4 linked regions of the Saccharomyces cerevisiae S288C genome follow. The gene in region 3 interacts genetically with the main gene of each other region. Each region holds a gene or a part of one and is shown on either strand. Other genes may lie near its edges. The genes, in order: MAK21, CHD1, AIR1 and CDC50.

Region 1 (5,509 bases), on a different chromosome or scaffold from region 3:
ATCCTCTTAGGGTAAACAGGTGGACTGTTGCTAGCCAGTGATGACTTGAAGAGCGCATTCGTTATTCGTACAACGAACTTATTGGTACTCATAATTAAAAAATCTTTCACAGAATATTAATCAAGTATTCACAAATTTGTTTTGCTTACTGCAATTAGCTAACAGAAAATTGTCGCTACAAATGTGCCTATATAAACAAAATGGTTAAAAATGAGTTCTGGATTATTTATTTCTAATAGGAGTCACGTGGTTCCATCGTTTTTAGTTTCGTCTCACGATGTCAGCAATCTCGGCGATTTCAACTGACATAGTTGTAGCTAAAATCCGTTTCTATTTCCGCATTACTCTTTTTCCGTTTACTCCCGCTCTAATAATGTTGAAAAGCGGACATAAGTAGAGTTATCAGCAAAACTCTGATATGCGTCTTTCGCTTCAAGGTTTCGTATTGGACCGTTTTTTATTGTACAAAATTCTGTTTTCCTTATTTAATTTACAACACCGAAGTGTTTAGTTAATGTATTATTATTTTCTAGTCTGAATCTTGATCTAAATATTGAGCATAATCGTCGGCAGATGCAAATACCGGTAGACTTTTGAGCATATTCTTTCTCTGCTTCTTCTTTGCTCTTTTTGCGGATACCTCTTTATTTTCTTCTTCTTCTTTTTCTTCTTCGCTGCTCTCGTCCTCTTCACTACTTTCAGCGAAGGAACGTTTTTTATCACTATTGTCTTGTTCTCCATCGAAACTGTAAAAAATATCCTCATCGAGGCCTTCTTCTTGATCGCTTTCTTGGCTGCCTTCACTTTTAGCATCTTCATCATCAATTGCGTCCAGCTTAGGTTCATCGTCACTAGTTGAATCGCTGAAATCATCTTCAGCGAAGTCAAGTTCACTGTCGTCGCTATCATCTTCAACATCTGGTCTCGATTTAACCAAAGCACTCCAAATTTCATTTTCATCCATTTCGTCATCACTATCGAAATTAGATGCTTTGTTAGATTTCTTTCCTTTTCCATCAGCGGTTTTCTTGGTAGTGAAATATTGATAAAAGAATTTATCTTCAGGTTTGATATCTTCAACTTTTTTAGTTAGCCAGTCTTCAGTGTTCACGGGACCCTGGTCATGCATAATATCAGATGCCTTAACTAAGACAGAGTCATTAACTCGTGAGCCACTAAACAGAGGTTGCATAATAGATGTACCTCTTGCTGTATTGGTCTGCTTGGCACTTCTGTAGACAAATCTGTCAAGGAAGTGTGATAGAGTAAATAGACCCAGGTCTGGTTTAGCTATTTGCTCTGTTTCTCCTGTCACATAGGCGTTTGCATATGTTTTCACAGTAGGATGAAAATGATTGATGAAGTTGTTGATTTCCCATAAAGAAGATTTTTCAGCATTGGCGAACTTTGGATCACGCTTGCGGCCGTCGTATTCCTTCCTTTTTATGTCCTTGTCCCCTTGCTCCTCTTCTGCATCAGATTCATACTCGTAATCAACTGGCGTGTTGGTTAGAAGATTTTTTATTTGTGGAACTGTTTTAGCCAACTGGATTAATAAGAAGAAAAAACCAGTAATGGTGCCGACGTTCAACCAATGAGAACAAACTTGAAGAATTCTCTTGACAAAGGCTTCTACTCGTTCAACGTTGAGTGCATCTTGTTTTAATGATTTGTATAGTAAATTCAAGTAAATACCCTGCTTAGAAGAGTTCACCAGTCTGGGGTCAAATAAACTTTCGTATAATGTTCTATAATATCGATCACTGTTCAACTTTGCTTTGACGGTGACTTGATTAATCAAAACTAATGCTTGGATTGAGGTGTTAAAGTTAGAGGAGTGTGTGATTTTGAAAAGAGTTTCCATATGTACTTCATAGACAGACGCTGGAATCTGAGCGAATGGGAATGCACGATTGATACCTGTTAACAAAGCACTGAATAATTTTGAGTTCTTTTCATCTAAAACTTCATTTTCCGTTTTTTCGATTTTTACAGATTTACCACCGTGTTTACCCTTTTTAAAGTTCTTCTTTCTTTTCTCCTCATACGACTTTGAGTTACTCTTAACAACGCCATTGGTATTGTCTTTATCAGTATTAATCAAGAATTTTTCAAACAAAGTGAAGTATGTTTTTACTAATTTATTAGCAACAGAGTCTTCTGATCTTTTTAAGATGGTTTGGTTTAAAGTAATAACAGAATAGTAAGTGGTATGATAATCCGCATTCGGTCTCAATGCGATATCAACGATAGCATCAATGACAATAGATTTCATATTCGGATGAGCTTGTTCCAACTTCAGTAGTAAATATGACGCCTTCGAAGAAACTTTGGAATCAATATCACCAATTTTATTTACACCTAATCTCAATAAATTAAATTCCTGCTCTGGTTGGTTGGTCAATAAATCAAATACATGATTTAATATTTGTAATCTAACGTGAATAATTGGATCGTGGGAAAGCACTTCCAAGACTTCTAAAACACGAAAGAACAGTTTCTTTAAATAATCTTCGAAATAGAAAATTGCAAGAGTTTTCTTGTTTAGCATCATAGATAAGCCAGGTTGATTTTTGAAATACCTCAGCTTTCTGTTGGGCAAAAGACCATTTAAGAATAAATCCTTCAAAGCGTTTAAACTCTGTAAAGCAGAGTTTCTCGATTTTTTGCCACAATATGAAACCAGAGTTTCTAAAGACTTAGTGTTATGCAATGGCGAATCTTGAATGAGTAAAGTTACGGCAGATATTTTATCGTTGAGGGTACCGTCCGATAGGATTTGGGACATGAACTTGGCCTGCGATGAGTCCTTTGTAAACTCCTCATAGTAAGTTTGGTTGTCAGCTTCTAGCGTTTGCTTACCTCTTTCAAAAAGTTTCTCAATCTGTTCCTTGGATAATTCTTCAACATCATCATTTTGTCCAACTTGAGGATCCAATGGAATTTCATACCATGGTTTATCGTAAGGAATAATAAGTTTGTCAGATGAGATAATAGTAGTTTGAGTAATTAAACCTCCATCTTTCTCCTCTTTCTTTTCTTTCTCTGCAGATTCTGATTCTGGCTCTTGGTCTGAACTAAGATTAGCCTCTTCTACTGTGTTTTCTTCTTGTTCACTGCCATTATCGATTGACTCTTGGGAGGTTTTCTCTATTGTCGATGATGCAATGTTTGATTGTGCATGTTCCTTCTCTTGAGCGGGTATTTTAGATTCTTTGGAGCTAGTGGATTCTTCTTCTATATCGTCATCGTCTACATCTTCGAGTTTGTGTTGGTCAAATCCTACATTCTTCATGAAATTTTGAAGATCGTTCTTGAATCCCTTGTCGTCAGCATCCTCGTCAGCGACGGCATCAAATTCCTGTTCGCTCTTAGCGTCATCATCATCGCTTAATCCTTGAATCAATTTTAGATCTTCTTCGCTGGCACCCAATGCTAGTGCTTCACGACGTATGTCCTCATTTACCTTCTTTGAATTACTACTGGCCTTCACGTCCTTGCCTTTGTGGGTTTTCTTCGCCTTTTTGCTGTTATTGTCTCGCAATTTTGACGAAATCTTATTTCTTAGTGAAGACAAATCCAGCGGATTGCCGTTGTTCTCACTCATTATTTTTGATTACTGTACCAACAAAGACACTGGAGAGGTTTAATATCTATAGAAATTTATCAAACTATAGAATTTCGCTTCCGATGTGTACGACATAATGCTTTCTTATTCGCAACTCCATTACTTTGGCATCTCTGATAATTTTTTACCTCATCGCCAAAAGAAAAAATTTTTCATTCTGCAACGGGTAACGGAATACAGAGGCAAGAGAACGGAAGAACATCATATCGGCGGTTATTACTAAACAGTATATGTCCAATCGGTTTTGGAAATGAGATTTTCTTATTAATGATCTGATCTTAGATTATGTTGGGCAATACGCGTTATACAAAAGATCTGCTATTGCATGTGGTGAAAGTTATACCAACATTTTTGCTTATATGAAATCATCTGCAACAACCAATTGGATAAGGATAGATTTCTCAAATATATTAAATTATGTCTTGGTTTACTTACACAGAAAGTCCCAAAGTACAGATGAATTATACTAGGGTTGTGTTCATTGTTCCATGAGAGGCTGTACTTTTTGCCTACTTATTTTGGTACTCATTCATTAGGCTCATAAACCGATTTTTCTTATATTGTGCGTAATTCAATTAGATATCTAGATGTATTGCTAGTGCTAGTACGGTGTAAACTCTCGTAGCAAGCGCTTTTGAAGCATGGCTGTGGTGGAGGTAGTTGCCACTGCGAGCGGGTAATAAAGCGGCTGCCGCCTTACTCATTTGTACCAAAGATAGCCGACCCAAAATTATAAAAAATAATTGTATCCCGGATTTTAATAGATGGTTGGAGTTTTATTTTCCAAGGTCAGGACTGCTTATTGACTACCATCTTGAAAAGTCATTTTCTGCTCACCACCCTCAACTAAACTAAAAATGTCTTCCTCCAAGCGTATTGCCAAGGAATTAAGTGATTTAGGGAGGTATGTTAAAAATAAAATGAATGATTTTTCTTGATCTGTAAAGAAAAAGGATTACTAACATGAGTTTCTTTTTTGAACTTTTTTCCGAAGAGATCCTCCTGCTTCATGTTCAGCAGGACCTGTAGGGGATGACCTGTATCATTGGCAAGCCTCTATTATGGGTCCTTCAGACTCACCCTACGCTGGTGGCGTTTTCTTTTTGTCTATTCACTTTCCAACTGATTATCCATTCAAGCCACCGAAGGTAAACTTTACGACCAAAATTTATCATCCGAATATTAATTCGAGTGGTAATATCTGCCTTGATATTTTAAAGGACCAGTGGTCACCGGCGCTAACCCTTTCAAAAGTTTTGTTGTCTATTTGCTCTCTTTTAACAGATGCTAATCCCGACGATCCTTTGGTCCCTGAAATTGCTCAAATCTACAAGACAGATAAGGCTAAGTATGAAGCCACCGCTAAGGAGTGGACTAAAAAATATGCTGTTTGATTAATTTGGGCTAACGGATAAATTGTGTAGACTTACCTTCCTCAGCGCACACATCAATATATTATATATTCTTTACGTATACAAACACGCAAATTCTTATAGGTATAGCGATATTAGTTTGATCAATTCCCATCACGTACCTTGCTTTCTATTATTTACTCTTTCTCCTGTACCTGCTACTATCAATTAAAAAAAATTCTCCGCGACGGGGAATTGAACCCCGATCTGGCACGCGACAAGCGCCCATTCTGACCATTAAACTATCACGGAAGAAACAAAGCACTCACGATGGGGGTCGAACCCATAATCTTCTGATTAGAAGTCAGACGCGTTGCCATTACGCCACGCGAGCTACTATTTGTCGGAAAAACATTCTGATTCATCTAGCTAAATGATTGTTTAAAATATGCTAAATTTCTCACCAACCTTTTCTCATAATGAGCCTAATATGAACCGCTATTGAAAATATGTACAAGGAAGAATATAG
Region 2 (6,769 bases), on a different chromosome or scaffold from region 3:
TACAAATTCACATTCTTCAAGAAGGCAGTTTGCCTTATAATATCCTCATACGGGATTAGTGTGGCCACTCTTCCTGGGTTTGCAGGTGTACCCCTATGATCAGTGGAACTTTGCCAGAACCGACGAGCAAAACCGTGAATTATTGCCGGTATTCTATGCGTGTAATGAGACGGAGGCTTGTAAATCAGAGATCCGTAGCCTAGGACCCAGATACCACTGTTGTCATTAGTCATTTGGCCATACAACTTTTTATAAGCCCAAACCAACGTCGTGATTGCTTCTTCCAAGGTTAAATCACCTCGAGACTAAACTCATAGCTAATATTGACCTTACCTTTTAGCGTTACCCAGAATACCAATTATCCCGCTCCTTGGCGAATCCAAAAAAAAAAAAAAGGAAAAATTACTGGAGTGGCAAATTTTCTCATTCTCTTCATATAAACCACTAGGGAGGACGTCGAAGAAAAGTCTGCTAGGTGTTGGTGACAACTTCCAAGCTTCCCTTAACACAAGGGAACTATTGATAACCGCTGGTTGACATACGCCTTTAAAAGAGGTCATACGTTGCGACACTCTCTCCCTCCCCTCTCACTGATGTTTTCTGTCTTCAATTTCTGGCAATAATCTTAAGACGAAGCAGTCAAGTCCTAAGGAAGAAAACGATTTTTGATTGTTTTAAGTTGCCACTACGTAGTGGTCAATATGGAAGCCTCTGCGCAATGGAGAAACACGGGTGGCATAGGTCAGCGAACCATACAAGCGAGAACACTCTCATTACTTTATGGATCATCTCAGTATTTCACCGTTCGAGGAAAATCTTCTTTCGCAGGCCGAAGTCACCGTGATATATTTGATACTTTTGAGATATCCTTGAAAGGTAAGCTTCTATGTTGTACGTTTATTTTTTTTAACTTTCTTTGTTTTAGCTTTTACTTCGATGATATGTTACTGCCCCATATACGGTAAAAGATCATACGTTGCCAAAATCAAAAGACATGATTGCCTGTATGTTTTCCTCAGCCCATCAATGCGTAATACGGTCAGCTAAACGCTGCTCACAAGCCAAGGGCTTGCGTGTTGCTCGCGCATCGGTTGGATATCACTGGTAGGCCACTTCTTCAATATTTTGAAAATGAAACACGCTAAAGTTGAAAACTTAATTATCAACCGTCCAGAAGGTGTAGGCAATTTCATCTAAGAGAATAAATTTAACATCCCACGATCCTTATCACATCCCATCCCTACACTAGGACATATGTTCCCAAACATTACAAAGTTCTTTCCTGATATCATTACTGATATAAGATTATGTCAATTATTGATACCATTAAAGACATGTAATATGCAACACTTGTCGAACAGATCATAGTTCAGTAGTCGATTATCATACTGTTACCCTCTCGTTATATAATTTTACTTTTTTTCCTTTCCTTCTTTTCAATTTCGAAACTGTACCACGAGAAACATTGTGTAGAAGAATCTTGTCCTCATTATATCTGGTTAGTACTATCGTATTCTTGTCCGGACATCTAAGTCAAGTTGATAAAAGTTTGGGGTTATCAAGTCAAGATAAGCAAGCTTGCAGAAGTCACCTTCTCTTTTCCGTTACTTCTTTTGTGAATATACACATACTTGTTTCTTCCAAAGGAGAAAATTGAATAAGCCTAAACATCGACCATCATTTTCTTTAATTCGTACTTGAGTTCCACTAGCTTACCTATTCACTAACGACAAAGTTTCTCAAAGGTTTTTATTTTTCATTTGCTTCAAGACTTTTCCGTTATTTCTTTAAACCTATACCCAATTCAAAGCAGAACCTTTTCTAATTTAATTCTCACTTATAATGGCAGCCAAGGATATTTCTACTGAAGTGCTGCAAAATCCTGAACTATATGGGCTGAGGCGGTCACATAGAGCTGCTGCGCATCAACAAAACTACTTCAACGATAGCGATGATGAGGACGATGAAGATAATATTAAACAGTCGAGGAGGAAGAGAATGACCACGATTGAAGACGACGAAGACGAATTTGAAGATGAAGAAGGCGAAGAAGATTCTGGAGAGGACGAAGATGAGGAAGATTTTGAAGAAGATGATGATTATTATGGCTCTCCTATAAAACAAAATCGATCAAAACCGAAATCAAGAACAAAATCAAAGTCTAAATCTAAGCCAAAATCTCAATCTGAAAAGCAATCTACAGTGAAAATACCAACAAGGTTTTCTAATCGTCAAAACAAAACGGTAAATTATAACATCGATTATAGCGATGATGACCTCTTAGAATCTGAAGATGACTATGGTTCCGAGGAGGCTTTATCAGAGGAAAATGTGCATGAAGCATCTGCCAATCCTCAACCAGAGGACTTCCACGGTATTGATATTGTTATCAATCACAGACTAAAGACATCTTTGGAAGAAGGAAAGGTCTTGGAAAAGACTGTTCCTGACCTCAATAACTGCAAGGAAAATTATGAATTCTTAATCAAATGGACAGATGAATCTCATCTCCACAATACCTGGGAAACTTATGAATCCATTGGCCAAGTCCGTGGATTGAAGAGGTTGGACAACTATTGTAAGCAATTCATCATCGAAGATCAACAAGTAAGATTAGATCCATACGTTACCGCCGAAGATATAGAGATCATGGACATGGAACGTGAACGTAGGCTTGATGAATTTGAGGAGTTCCACGTGCCAGAAAGGATTATTGATAGCCAACGTGCTTCGTTGGAAGACGGCACCTCACAATTACAGTATTTAGTTAAATGGCGTCGTCTAAATTACGACGAGGCTACTTGGGAGAATGCCACAGATATCGTGAAATTGGCACCTGAACAAGTGAAACATTTTCAAAACAGAGAAAACTCTAAGATCCTCCCACAATATTCCAGTAATTATACTTCACAGAGACCGCGTTTTGAGAAGTTAAGCGTGCAACCTCCGTTCATTAAAGGTGGGGAATTAAGAGATTTTCAACTAACTGGTATTAATTGGATGGCATTTTTGTGGTCCAAAGGTGATAATGGTATACTGGCAGATGAGATGGGCCTGGGAAAAACGGTCCAGACTGTCGCCTTTATCAGTTGGCTGATATTTGCTCGTAGACAAAACGGACCTCACATCATTGTCGTTCCTTTATCGACAATGCCTGCCTGGTTGGATACTTTTGAGAAATGGGCGCCTGATTTGAATTGTATATGCTATATGGGCAACCAAAAATCAAGAGATACCATTCGAGAATATGAATTTTACACCAATCCAAGGGCAAAAGGGAAAAAAACAATGAAATTTAATGTTTTATTAACAACATACGAGTACATCTTAAAGGATCGTGCTGAATTAGGAAGTATAAAATGGCAATTTATGGCCGTTGACGAAGCTCATAGACTAAAAAATGCTGAATCATCCCTTTATGAATCATTAAACAGTTTCAAGGTCGCCAACCGTATGTTAATCACAGGCACACCTCTTCAGAATAATATTAAAGAGTTAGCTGCGTTGGTTAATTTCCTAATGCCCGGAAGGTTTACGATTGATCAGGAGATTGATTTTGAAAACCAAGATGAAGAGCAAGAAGAATATATTCATGATTTACACCGAAGAATACAGCCTTTTATTCTTCGTCGGTTGAAGAAAGACGTAGAAAAATCACTTCCATCAAAGACAGAGCGTATTTTAAGAGTTGAATTGTCCGACGTACAGACTGAGTACTATAAAAATATTCTGACTAAAAACTACTCTGCTTTAACTGCTGGAGCTAAAGGGGGTCATTTCTCTTTACTGAATATTATGAACGAGTTGAAAAAGGCATCGAACCATCCATATCTCTTCGATAATGCTGAAGAGCGCGTCTTACAGAAATTTGGGGATGGTAAAATGACTCGAGAAAACGTACTAAGAGGTTTGATCATGTCTTCGGGTAAGATGGTTCTTTTAGACCAATTATTGACCAGATTGAAGAAAGATGGGCACCGCGTGTTGATTTTTTCACAAATGGTCAGAATGCTTGACATTTTAGGCGACTATTTATCCATTAAAGGTATTAACTTCCAAAGGTTAGATGGTACAGTACCATCTGCTCAAAGAAGGATATCTATTGATCATTTCAACTCTCCGGATTCAAACGACTTCGTATTTTTACTTTCTACTCGTGCTGGTGGTTTGGGTATCAACTTAATGACCGCCGATACCGTTGTGATTTTTGATTCCGATTGGAATCCGCAAGCCGATTTACAAGCAATGGCTAGAGCTCATCGTATTGGCCAAAAAAATCACGTTATGGTGTATAGGTTGGTTTCAAAAGACACAGTAGAGGAAGAGGTATTAGAAAGAGCACGGAAGAAAATGATTCTGGAATATGCTATTATTTCTCTTGGAGTGACAGATGGTAACAAATACACTAAGAAGAATGAACCAAATGCCGGTGAATTATCGGCAATCCTGAAGTTCGGTGCAGGCAATATGTTCACTGCCACAGACAACCAGAAAAAATTGGAGGATCTTAACTTGGATGATGTTTTGAATCATGCAGAGGATCACGTTACTACTCCAGACTTAGGAGAGTCGCATCTTGGCGGTGAAGAGTTTTTGAAGCAATTCGAAGTGACTGATTATAAAGCTGATATAGATTGGGATGATATCATTCCAGAAGAAGAACTAAAAAAACTCCAAGATGAAGAGCAGAAACGCAAGGATGAAGAATATGTTAAAGAACAACTTGAAATGATGAATAGAAGGGATAACGCCCTAAAAAAAATAAAAAACAGTGTTAATGGTGATGGGACCGCCGCAAACTCAGATTCTGACGACGATAGTACTTCCAGATCTTCTAGAAGAAGAGCAAGAGCTAATGACATGGACTCTATTGGTGAATCGGAGGTGAGAGCTTTGTATAAAGCTATTTTAAAATTTGGCAACCTAAAGGAGATTTTGGACGAGTTGATTGCAGATGGAACCCTGCCGGTCAAATCATTTGAAAAATACGGTGAAACTTACGATGAAATGATGGAAGCAGCTAAAGACTGTGTACACGAGGAAGAGAAAAATAGAAAAGAAATCTTGGAGAAACTTGAGAAGCATGCTACCGCCTATAGAGCAAAGCTAAAAAGCGGTGAAATAAAAGCAGAGAACCAACCAAAGGATAATCCGTTGACTAGATTATCTTTAAAAAAAAGAGAAAAGAAAGCCGTCCTTTTCAACTTTAAAGGTGTTAAATCTTTAAACGCCGAATCTTTACTAAGTAGAGTGGAGGATTTAAAGTACTTGAAGAACTTGATAAATTCAAACTACAAAGATGATCCATTAAAGTTTAGCCTAGGCAACAACACACCTAAGCCTGTACAGAATTGGTCATCTAATTGGACGAAAGAGGAAGATGAGAAGCTATTGATTGGTGTTTTCAAATATGGATATGGTTCCTGGACACAAATAAGAGACGATCCATTTCTAGGCATTACTGATAAAATATTCTTGAATGAAGTTCACAATCCGGTAGCAAAAAAGTCGGCAAGCTCCTCTGATACAACACCAACACCCTCAAAGAAAGGAAAGGGAATAACGGGTTCTTCAAAAAAAGTACCTGGTGCCATTCACTTGGGCAGAAGAGTTGATTATCTATTATCCTTCTTAAGAGGAGGCCTAAATACAAAGAGTCCCAGTGCTGACATAGGCTCGAAAAAACTCCCTACTGGTCCTTCCAAAAAGAGACAAAGAAAACCTGCTAATCACAGCAAATCCATGACTCCAGAAATTACAAGTTCTGAGCCTGCAAATGGCCCGCCAAGCAAACGTATGAAAGCCCTCCCAAAAGGTCCTGCCGCCTTAATAAATAACACGAGATTGTCTCCAAACAGCCCCACGCCCCCATTAAAGTCCAAGGTTTCCAGAGATAATGGTACAAGGCAATCAAGCAACCCCAGTAGCGGCAGCGCTCACGAAAAAGAATATGACAGCATGGATGAAGAAGACTGTCGACACACAATGAGTGCAATACGTACTTCTTTGAAGCGACTTAGAAGAGGCGGCAAAAGTCTTGATCGTAAGGAATGGGCCAAAATTTTGAAGACCGAATTAACTACGATTGGTAATCATATCGAATCGCAAAAGGGCTCATCGAGAAAGGCAAGCCCAGAAAAATATCGCAAGCACCTTTGGTCTTACAGTGCCAACTTTTGGCCTGCCGACGTTAAGAGTACAAAGCTGATGGCAATGTACGACAAGATAACAGAGTCTCAAAAGAAGTGAAACAATTTTTCTTCACCACATTTTCCATTGTTCCTTCCCCCCATAACTATAAACGTATTTATGTATATATATTTGCGTGTAAGTGTGTGTACTATAGGGCACCGTAAAGTAATAATGCTTAATTAGTTACTACTATGACCATATAAGAGGTCATACTGTATGAAGCCACAAAGCAGATAGATCAATCATGTTTAACGAAAACTGTTAATCGAAGATTATTTCTTTTTTTTTTTCTCTTTCCTTTTTACAAAGAAAATTTTTTTTGCGCTTTTTGCCATCACCATCGCAAGTTCTGGGACAATTGTTCTCTTTCGCTCCAGTTCCAAGGAAAGAGGTTTCTGTTTTACTTAATAGAAAGTGTCATCTTGTATTTTATATCTCTTCTTTCTTGTGTAAAATTCTTTAGTTTTGATTTTGTATTTTTAGGACAGTGAGCTACGAAGTAACATTTTTACTTAATAACCGTTTGAAGCATAGAGCAGGCCCTGGTACCACCACCTAATATCTGGCTTTTTATTCA
Region 3 (3,374 bases):
AACACATATGAAACAACCTTATAACAAAACGAACAACATGAGACAAAACCCGACCTTCCCTAGCTGAACTACCCAAAGTATAAATGCCTGAACAATTAGTTTAGATCCGAGATTCCGCGCTTCCACCACTTAGTATGATTCATATTTTATATAATATATAAGATAAGTAACATTCCGTGAATTAATCTGATAAACTGTTTTGACAACTGGTTACTTCCCTAAGACTGTTTATATTAGGATTGTCAAGACACTCCGGTATTACTCGAGCCCGTAATACAACAGAACATATGAAATATCTGGTCTCTTGGCCCAGTTGGTTAAGGCACCGTGCTAATAACGCGGGGATCAGCGGTTCGATCCCGCTAGAGACCATATTTTTTTGTACAAATCTCTTCTACTACTGCTAAGACAGTAAGTAAGAAATACGAGACTCCAACAATGTACTTTTTTTTTGCTTTGTACTGCTCTATCGATACAAAAAATCCCTATAAAATAAACATATATATGTTTGCTGCAATGAGAATGGAAAAAAAATTAAAAAAACTCACATATAATCTCAATAACGGCCATTTCTTTGGCTTTTGTTAGAAGATGATCGGCCCCTCTTATTCTTAGGACCCTTGGGGAAGTCGTCCCTATTATAGCTGAACTGGCTCGAATAATCGTTCGTTCTGTTGTTTTGGCTACTTCTGGGGAAATCTAAGGGGTGTGTCTGAACTCTTTTATTTTTCGTCACTTTGTAGTTCTGTGCGCTAAATGGTGACTTCTTCTTCCTGTTATTACTGCTTTCATATCTATTATTGCTACTATTTTTGTTCCTTGTTGACTGCACTTTGCCCTTCCATTTCATTTTATCTCTATAAGTCCTTGAGCCAGGGAGGTCGTATGCATCGTCGTTATATTCATAGTCAAGCAGGTTGAATTCATGTTCGTTATCAAAGTGTTGCCTTTGTGAAGCTTCACGTTTATAGTCTTTCAATTGGTTAAAATAGTGTTGTTTAAATTTTGTGGCTAAGTTATCACCGCAAAATGCACTTCCATCAGTGTTCGGCACTCTCGATGACCTTCTTTCAGCACAGTCATCGCCAAAATGACCGGCATTCCCACAGTTATAACAGAAAACTGTTTGAAAATCGAAGTCACCTTGGTTAGCATCTTTTGTTTTTAATAAATAAGATCTCCAAATACTAGGACATCTTTCTCTTGAGTGTCTTTTGCTATTGCAAAGCGTGCAGAACACCTTCTTCCATTTATGAGGACACTGTGATTTATAATGGCCGTTTGCATTACAATTAGTGCAAATAATAGCCTTAGGGCAGTGTTGTGAGTAATGATCATCCATAAACCCGCAGTAAGTACATATCACATGGGGACAATTCCTTTTCAAATGACCTCTTTGCGAACAATTATTACACTTTGGCTCTGCCTCCATTATCGCACCGTTTGAGTCATAATCTGTTATTCCAAAATACCGTCCTTGGCCACGTAAAGTCCTCAGTTCCTCTGGGTTAGCATCTACATCCTCTATGGAAGGAGCCAATAATTTATTAAATGATGACGAGTCACTTCCTGTCGGTGTTGTATCCTTCACATACGGCAAAGTATCGATACTTTCTACCTCAGATAACAATGTCGACATAATATCTTAGCTCCGTGGTCCGCTTCCTTTGTATTCCTCATGTGAGAATGTTGGACCTTTCCCACTCATCGCATCGCTAATTTTTAGTAATTTTTCATTTTTTCATGGACCAAGAAATTGAAAAGCCTGTCAATGAGCTTTAACAGTAGCAAGAAACAAAGACAAAGGACAAGCGCCTATGGAAGTCACTTTAGAAATATTGAAGTCACATTTTCATATAATATATAAATGAATTTACAGATGTGCCATTGTATATGCTGACGCAAACGCTTTCTTTTTACTGTTTAAATGACTCTTACCTTGTGATATGTATAAATCATCATATACGGCTATCTTGCTAAAAAATTTTTTTCGAGGAATTTTCACTTGAAAAAAATACTTGCGATGGCAACAAAAGAAAGTTAGATAAATCGTGCATTAAATGATGTGTCATCTGAAAGATTACAGGTTAACGAAAAATTAACAGCTAACAGAGCAAGAAAATAAAACGGAGATGAGTGCTAGTGAAGCAGGTGTCACTGAGCAAGTCAAAAAGCTGTCTGTCAAGGATAGTAGTAATGATGCCGTAAAACCAAATAAGAAAGAAAACAAAAAATCCAAGCAACAGTCCTTGTACTTGGATCCTGAACCAACTTTCATCGAGGAAAGAATTGAAATGTTTGACAGATTACAAAAGGAATACAATGATAAAGTTGCTTCTATGCCACGTGTTCCATTGAAGATTGTCTTGAAGGATGGAGCCGTTAAGGAAGCCACTTCTTGGGAAACCACTCCGATGGATATTGCCAAAGGAATTTCTAAATCTTTAGCAGACAGGTTATGTATTTCTAAGGTTAATGGTCAATTATGGGACTTAGATAGACCATTTGAAGGCGAAGCCAACGAAGAAATCAAATTAGAACTGCTAGATTTCGAATCTGACGAAGGTAAGAAGGTCTTTTGGCATTCGTCTGCCCACGTCTTGGGTGAATCTTGTGAGTGCCACCTAGGTGCCCATATTTGTTTAGGTCCTCCAACTGATGATGGGTTCTTTTATGAAATGGCTGTTAGAGATAGTATGAAAGATATATCTGAATCTCCAGAAAGAACCGTCTCCCAAGCTGATTTCCCAGGATTGGAAGGCGTTGCCAAGAATGTTATCAAGCAAAAGCAAAAATTTGAAAGATTGGTCATGTCCAAAGAAGATCTTTTGAAAATGTTTCATTATTCGAAGTATAAGACTTACTTGGTACAGACAAAGGTTCCAGATGGAGGTGCTACTACCGTCTACCGTTGCGGTAAATTGATTGATCTATGTGTCGGCCCTCATATCCCACATACTGGGCGTATCAAAGCTTTCAAACTATTAAAGAACTCTTCTTGTTATTTCTTAGGTGATGCGACAAACGACTCTTTACAAAGAGTTTACGGTATCTCTTTTCCAGACAAAAAATTAATGGATGCTCATTTGAAGTTCTTGGCGGAAGCCTCTATGAGAGATCACAGAAAGATTGGTAAAGAACAAGAATTATTCTTATTCAATGAAATGTCCCCAGGTTCTTGCTTTTGGTTACCTCATGGTACTAGAATTTACAACACTTTGGTTGACTTGTTGAGAACCGAATACCGTAAGAGAGGTTACGAAGAAGTCATCACTCCAAACATGTACAACTCCAAATTGTGGGAAACCTCAGGTCACTGGGCCAATTACAAGGAAAACATGTTTACTTTCGAAGTAGAGAAGGAAACTTTCGGT
Region 4 (3,695 bases), on a different chromosome or scaffold from region 3:
GCCTCAGCGGCTTTTGACATTAATAAATCAAATCGAAACCAAAGTGAAAAATAATAAAGTATTACAAGTAAGTGGAGTTCTAGGAGACGATTTGAAGAAAACCTCTTCTGACCTAGGAATTTTTGGCCATAGGTATAGATTAGCATTTAATAAAAAAGAAAATGGAGATTATGGCTATTATAAAGCAAGGGGAAAAGATAACGTCAAAATAAGGATACCCTGTGATTCTGAATTACCAGATTGGTTCAGGTTTCAACGAGATTTGTGGGAAAAAGAAAACGTTCCGGAAGAGCATCACTTTTATAGGGAACATATTTTTACATAGTTTACATTTTTACGTATATGTATAGATGATTTCATGATAAACGTTTTCCACTTTTCTATCATTTCATCATCTAAATGGGAATAGCAAACCCTGGGAGTTCTTTGTCGCACTATTTTCCAAGCGTAAAAAGGCATACTTCAATTTTTCTTTTGTTTACGTTTCAGGAAGTCAACAAAACTTGTTTACTTATAAACACAAATACCTACAGGCACTAAAGTTTGTTTTTTGGCCTCTATAAAATTTCCCTCAATGTTGTATTCTCTGCGTGTACATCCTCATAATCCTCGTTTTCTTCATCATCAAAATTCAAATAAGTGTGATCACCCATCGCTCTTGGTTGGAAGATTAATTTAACCAAAAAAATGATGCCAAATAAGGCGCAAAGCCCTGCAACGATGAGGTACAGTACGCCTAGTGACATATTTCTACCACCAATAGCTCCATTTGTAGTCAGTACAAATGATTTTGTGCCACCAAAGAGTGAAATCGGATAATTCAACTCAATGTTCATTTGATATTTACCCTTCGGTAAAGAAGCAGATTCATTTTTCAACGTCAACTTGTAAAACTTGGGAAAGGCTGCAGTCCTCATCCATACCTGGAACTCTTCCCAAGTATGGATATCAGGAAGATTTTCATCTGTATACCCATCGGGATACTTCTTCATCCAGTTTGGCGGTGGAACAATATCGCTAGCATTATACTTGGTGGTTTTAAATCTGTGACGATCAATACTCCATGATATATGCTTGTTAGTTAAATTATAGTCTTCTGTGTCATCTATACCACTCAACACCTGAGAAAATGTATCATTAAACATGGAATTAGCGATCAACCCACAGGGATATATTATTTTGTCTTCCCTACTTCTTATTGGACTACAGCTTGTATCCAGATCATCTTTTTTGATAGGCTCCCCTAATATTTGCTTTGTGTCAAACGATTGGACATATCTGCGATGATTTTGATAAAAATTGGTTATTTTATAATATATAAAAATGGATTTCTTGATATCGTTTGGGATTTCGAACTGCAGTTCGCATGATTGTTCGCCATTTTCATTTTCGGTTAGCCTCCATTGTGGTTTATTTTCAACTTTACTTTTAAAGTGATATTTAATGTACTTCTTTGGTATATCTTCAAAAGCAGTTGTAGATGCTTTTGTATCACAATGACTATAATCAATTGTTAGATCTTGTACCTTAGTAGCGCTTACAATGAGTCCAATACCAATAGGAGTAAATATACATGCAACGAATATTAACAACGGAAGCACACTTTGAGGAGACAGTATTGGTTGCCATGCCTTAAGCCTTTGTTGTCTAAACGCTGTGTTAGGAGGCTTTTTAGAAGTGGGGCCTTCTTTCGTGAGCGGTGGAGCCTTACCTCTTTTGAACAATGAAACCATATACAAGCTGTTCTATAGAACTTCAAGTTCGATTACTCAATTATTCTTTGTTCGCAGTGCGTCATGGACATAAGGTAATTGCAGCTCTTGTTTGATATAAATTGATGCTCATTATTATTATTATTCTCCAAAACAATAATACGGGTAACACTAATTTTCAGTAGTTCAAAAGTGAAAGCGACCCATATACAGTAAGAAAAGTTAATCGAAATTGCTTCTATTCTTATTCAAAATAGTATTCTCTGAAATATAGTATTATACAAGTTATATTTTTTTTTCTGAAATCATGATTTTCGTATATAAATAAATGCAGTTTTTTTATGCGTTGGATTGTAGAGGGGTTTGCCTTCTATTGATGGTGGCGGATTGGTCATCTTGTTCACTGGTTGTGTATTTTTTGGAATATTTTACTAATTGTTGTAAAATTAGTTTAATTTCGGGAACACTTTGTACAAAGGGCAGGTCTAAAAGATTAATATCGTTATTGTTTATCAACTGAGTAAAGAAAACTGAAACACCCCAGGTATGTGGTTTGTTAACAATAATTCTTTTTAAAAAGTTTCTTAAAATAATTTCTTGGACTTCAAGTTTTTGATCATTCCATTCGTCACTTTTGAACATATTCATTAACACAAAGCTGAACCAATAGGTGTGGATGTTTGGATACCGCAATTGTTCCACAATAGACAGAATAATTTGATATTTCATTTCGATGCTACCATTTTGAATCAGATTGAACAATAAAGTATAATAAGAAGACTTCGTATTAAATACCGCATTTGAAGAAGTTCTCTTATACTCTATTCCAGCTTCAATGCCCACATGTAATACAATAGCGCGAATTAATTTACTATCAACAGATAAAAAGTCGTAGCCTACGCCCTTTTTTATGTCATAGGTATCCTTGTAAATAGCGCTTAGTATTGTTCTTAATAATGAATTTGAGGGAATACGTAGGTAGTTGTCAACTGGCTTTTTCAATGAGTGTAAATCAATTACAGGATCAAAGAAGACTTCAGGTAGTTCTTTACATGCTGGAATATCCTCCATATTAAGATCCACGTCATATGGGTTGGGAACGGTCATATTCTTAGGAATAGCAGATAAAATAACATTCTTTAGTTGGAAATATGTTGGAGGTAGATTGTTCATTAATTCATAGTGATTTTCAATCAAAAAGGATGGCATATCATTCGAAATGCCTAAAATAACACGCAGTGTTCCCTTATAAACAACCGAAACAGCGTCAGAGACTGCATGTTTACTTGTGTATTGGTCCAAAAATTTAAACAAATCGATAATCAAAAGCATTAACTTTTCCCAACCTATTTTATTGGGTAATCTTAGCATAATTGGTAATAACATTCTGTGTGATAATAGTGTCACCCATGCAAATGAGAATCCAGGGAAGGCAAATGGTTGCAGAGCGTGCAAATATCCTGAGAAAGTGTTGTAAAATACAGAATCAAATTCGATCAGCTCCTGCCTAGTGCTGGAATCAGATATTCTAACAAAATTGTGCGTCCTGATGGTAGCCCATTCGTATAAGATGTTAGAAAATAGTCTGAAATATGGTCGTTCATTGAATGTGGTACCCTCTTGGCTATGATCCTTAGCAAACACTAAAACGATCACAGAAAATATTGCATTTATGTAATCTCTTCTTGTATCATCTTTGAAACCCTGTAAAATCAACAATTTTATAATTAGCGATCCTAGAGCATCAATAGCGATGAAAACCTCATCAGTCGGGTCACTTTCTTTGAATGAAGAAACTGATAGCTCAAGAGAACTTTTGACAAATGTAAGTAAATTATCAGTATCGCTGATAACACCCTTTTCGACTAATTGCTTGATAAAAACAGTTGTGATTACGTCGTTATTCTCAACTCTTTGAAGTAATTTTACCCATTCCGTAAATACTAAGTAAAGCTTTTCTGTTCTTGTGGTTTTGGTACCTTT

What was found.
Region 1: mutations in AIR1 (region 3) and MAK21 together harm fitness more than expected from each alone (negative genetic interaction), as found in Saccharomyces cerevisiae (3 studies listed by BioGRID).
Region 2: mutations in AIR1 (region 3) and CHD1 are lethal when combined (synthetic lethality), as found in Saccharomyces cerevisiae (3 studies listed by BioGRID, with this or other methods).
Region 4: mutations in AIR1 (region 3) and CDC50 together harm fitness less than expected from each alone (positive genetic interaction), as found in Saccharomyces cerevisiae (2 studies listed by BioGRID).

The regions. Positions count from the first base shown.
Region 1 is NC_001136.10:568,747-574,255, reverse strand, and holds MAK21 (RNA-binding ribosome biosynthesis protein MAK21), read right to left. Parts: upstream 3,608-5,509; coding exon 530-3,607; downstream 1-529. Other genes in the region: YDR061W (uncharacterized protein), read right to left, coding at 1-92; E2 ubiquitin-conjugating protein UBC5, read left to right, coding at 4,486-4,532, 4,623-5,022.
Region 2 is NC_001137.3:503,550-510,318, forward strand, and holds CHD1 (chromatin-remodeling ATPase CHD1), read left to right. Parts: upstream 1-1,842; coding exon 1,843-6,249; downstream 6,250-6,769. Other genes in the region: GCG1 (gamma-glutamylcyclotransferase), read right to left, coding at 1-233. UniProt on the Saccharomyces cerevisiae protein: ATP-dependent chromatin-remodeling factor which functions as substrate recognition component of the transcription regulatory histone acetylation (HAT) complexes SAGA and SLIK. It recognizes H3K4me.
Region 3 is NC_001141.2:210,367-213,740, forward strand, and holds AIR1 (TRAMP complex RNA-binding subunit), read right to left. Parts: upstream 1,640-3,374; coding exon 557-1,639; downstream 1-556. Other genes in the region: threonine--tRNA ligase THS1, read left to right, coding at 2,133-3,374. UniProt on the Saccharomyces cerevisiae protein: Component of the TRAMP (TRF4) and TRAMP5 complexes which have a poly(A) RNA polymerase activity and are involved in a post-transcriptional quality control mechanism limiting inappropriate expression of genetic information.
Region 4 is NC_001135.5:284,800-288,494, reverse strand, and holds CDC50 (aminophospholipid translocase regulatory protein CDC50), read right to left. Parts: upstream 1,734-3,695; coding exon 558-1,733; downstream 1-557. Other genes in the region: OCA4 (Oca4p), read left to right, coding at 1-325; CCR4-NOT core subunit CDC39, read right to left, coding at 2,052-3,695.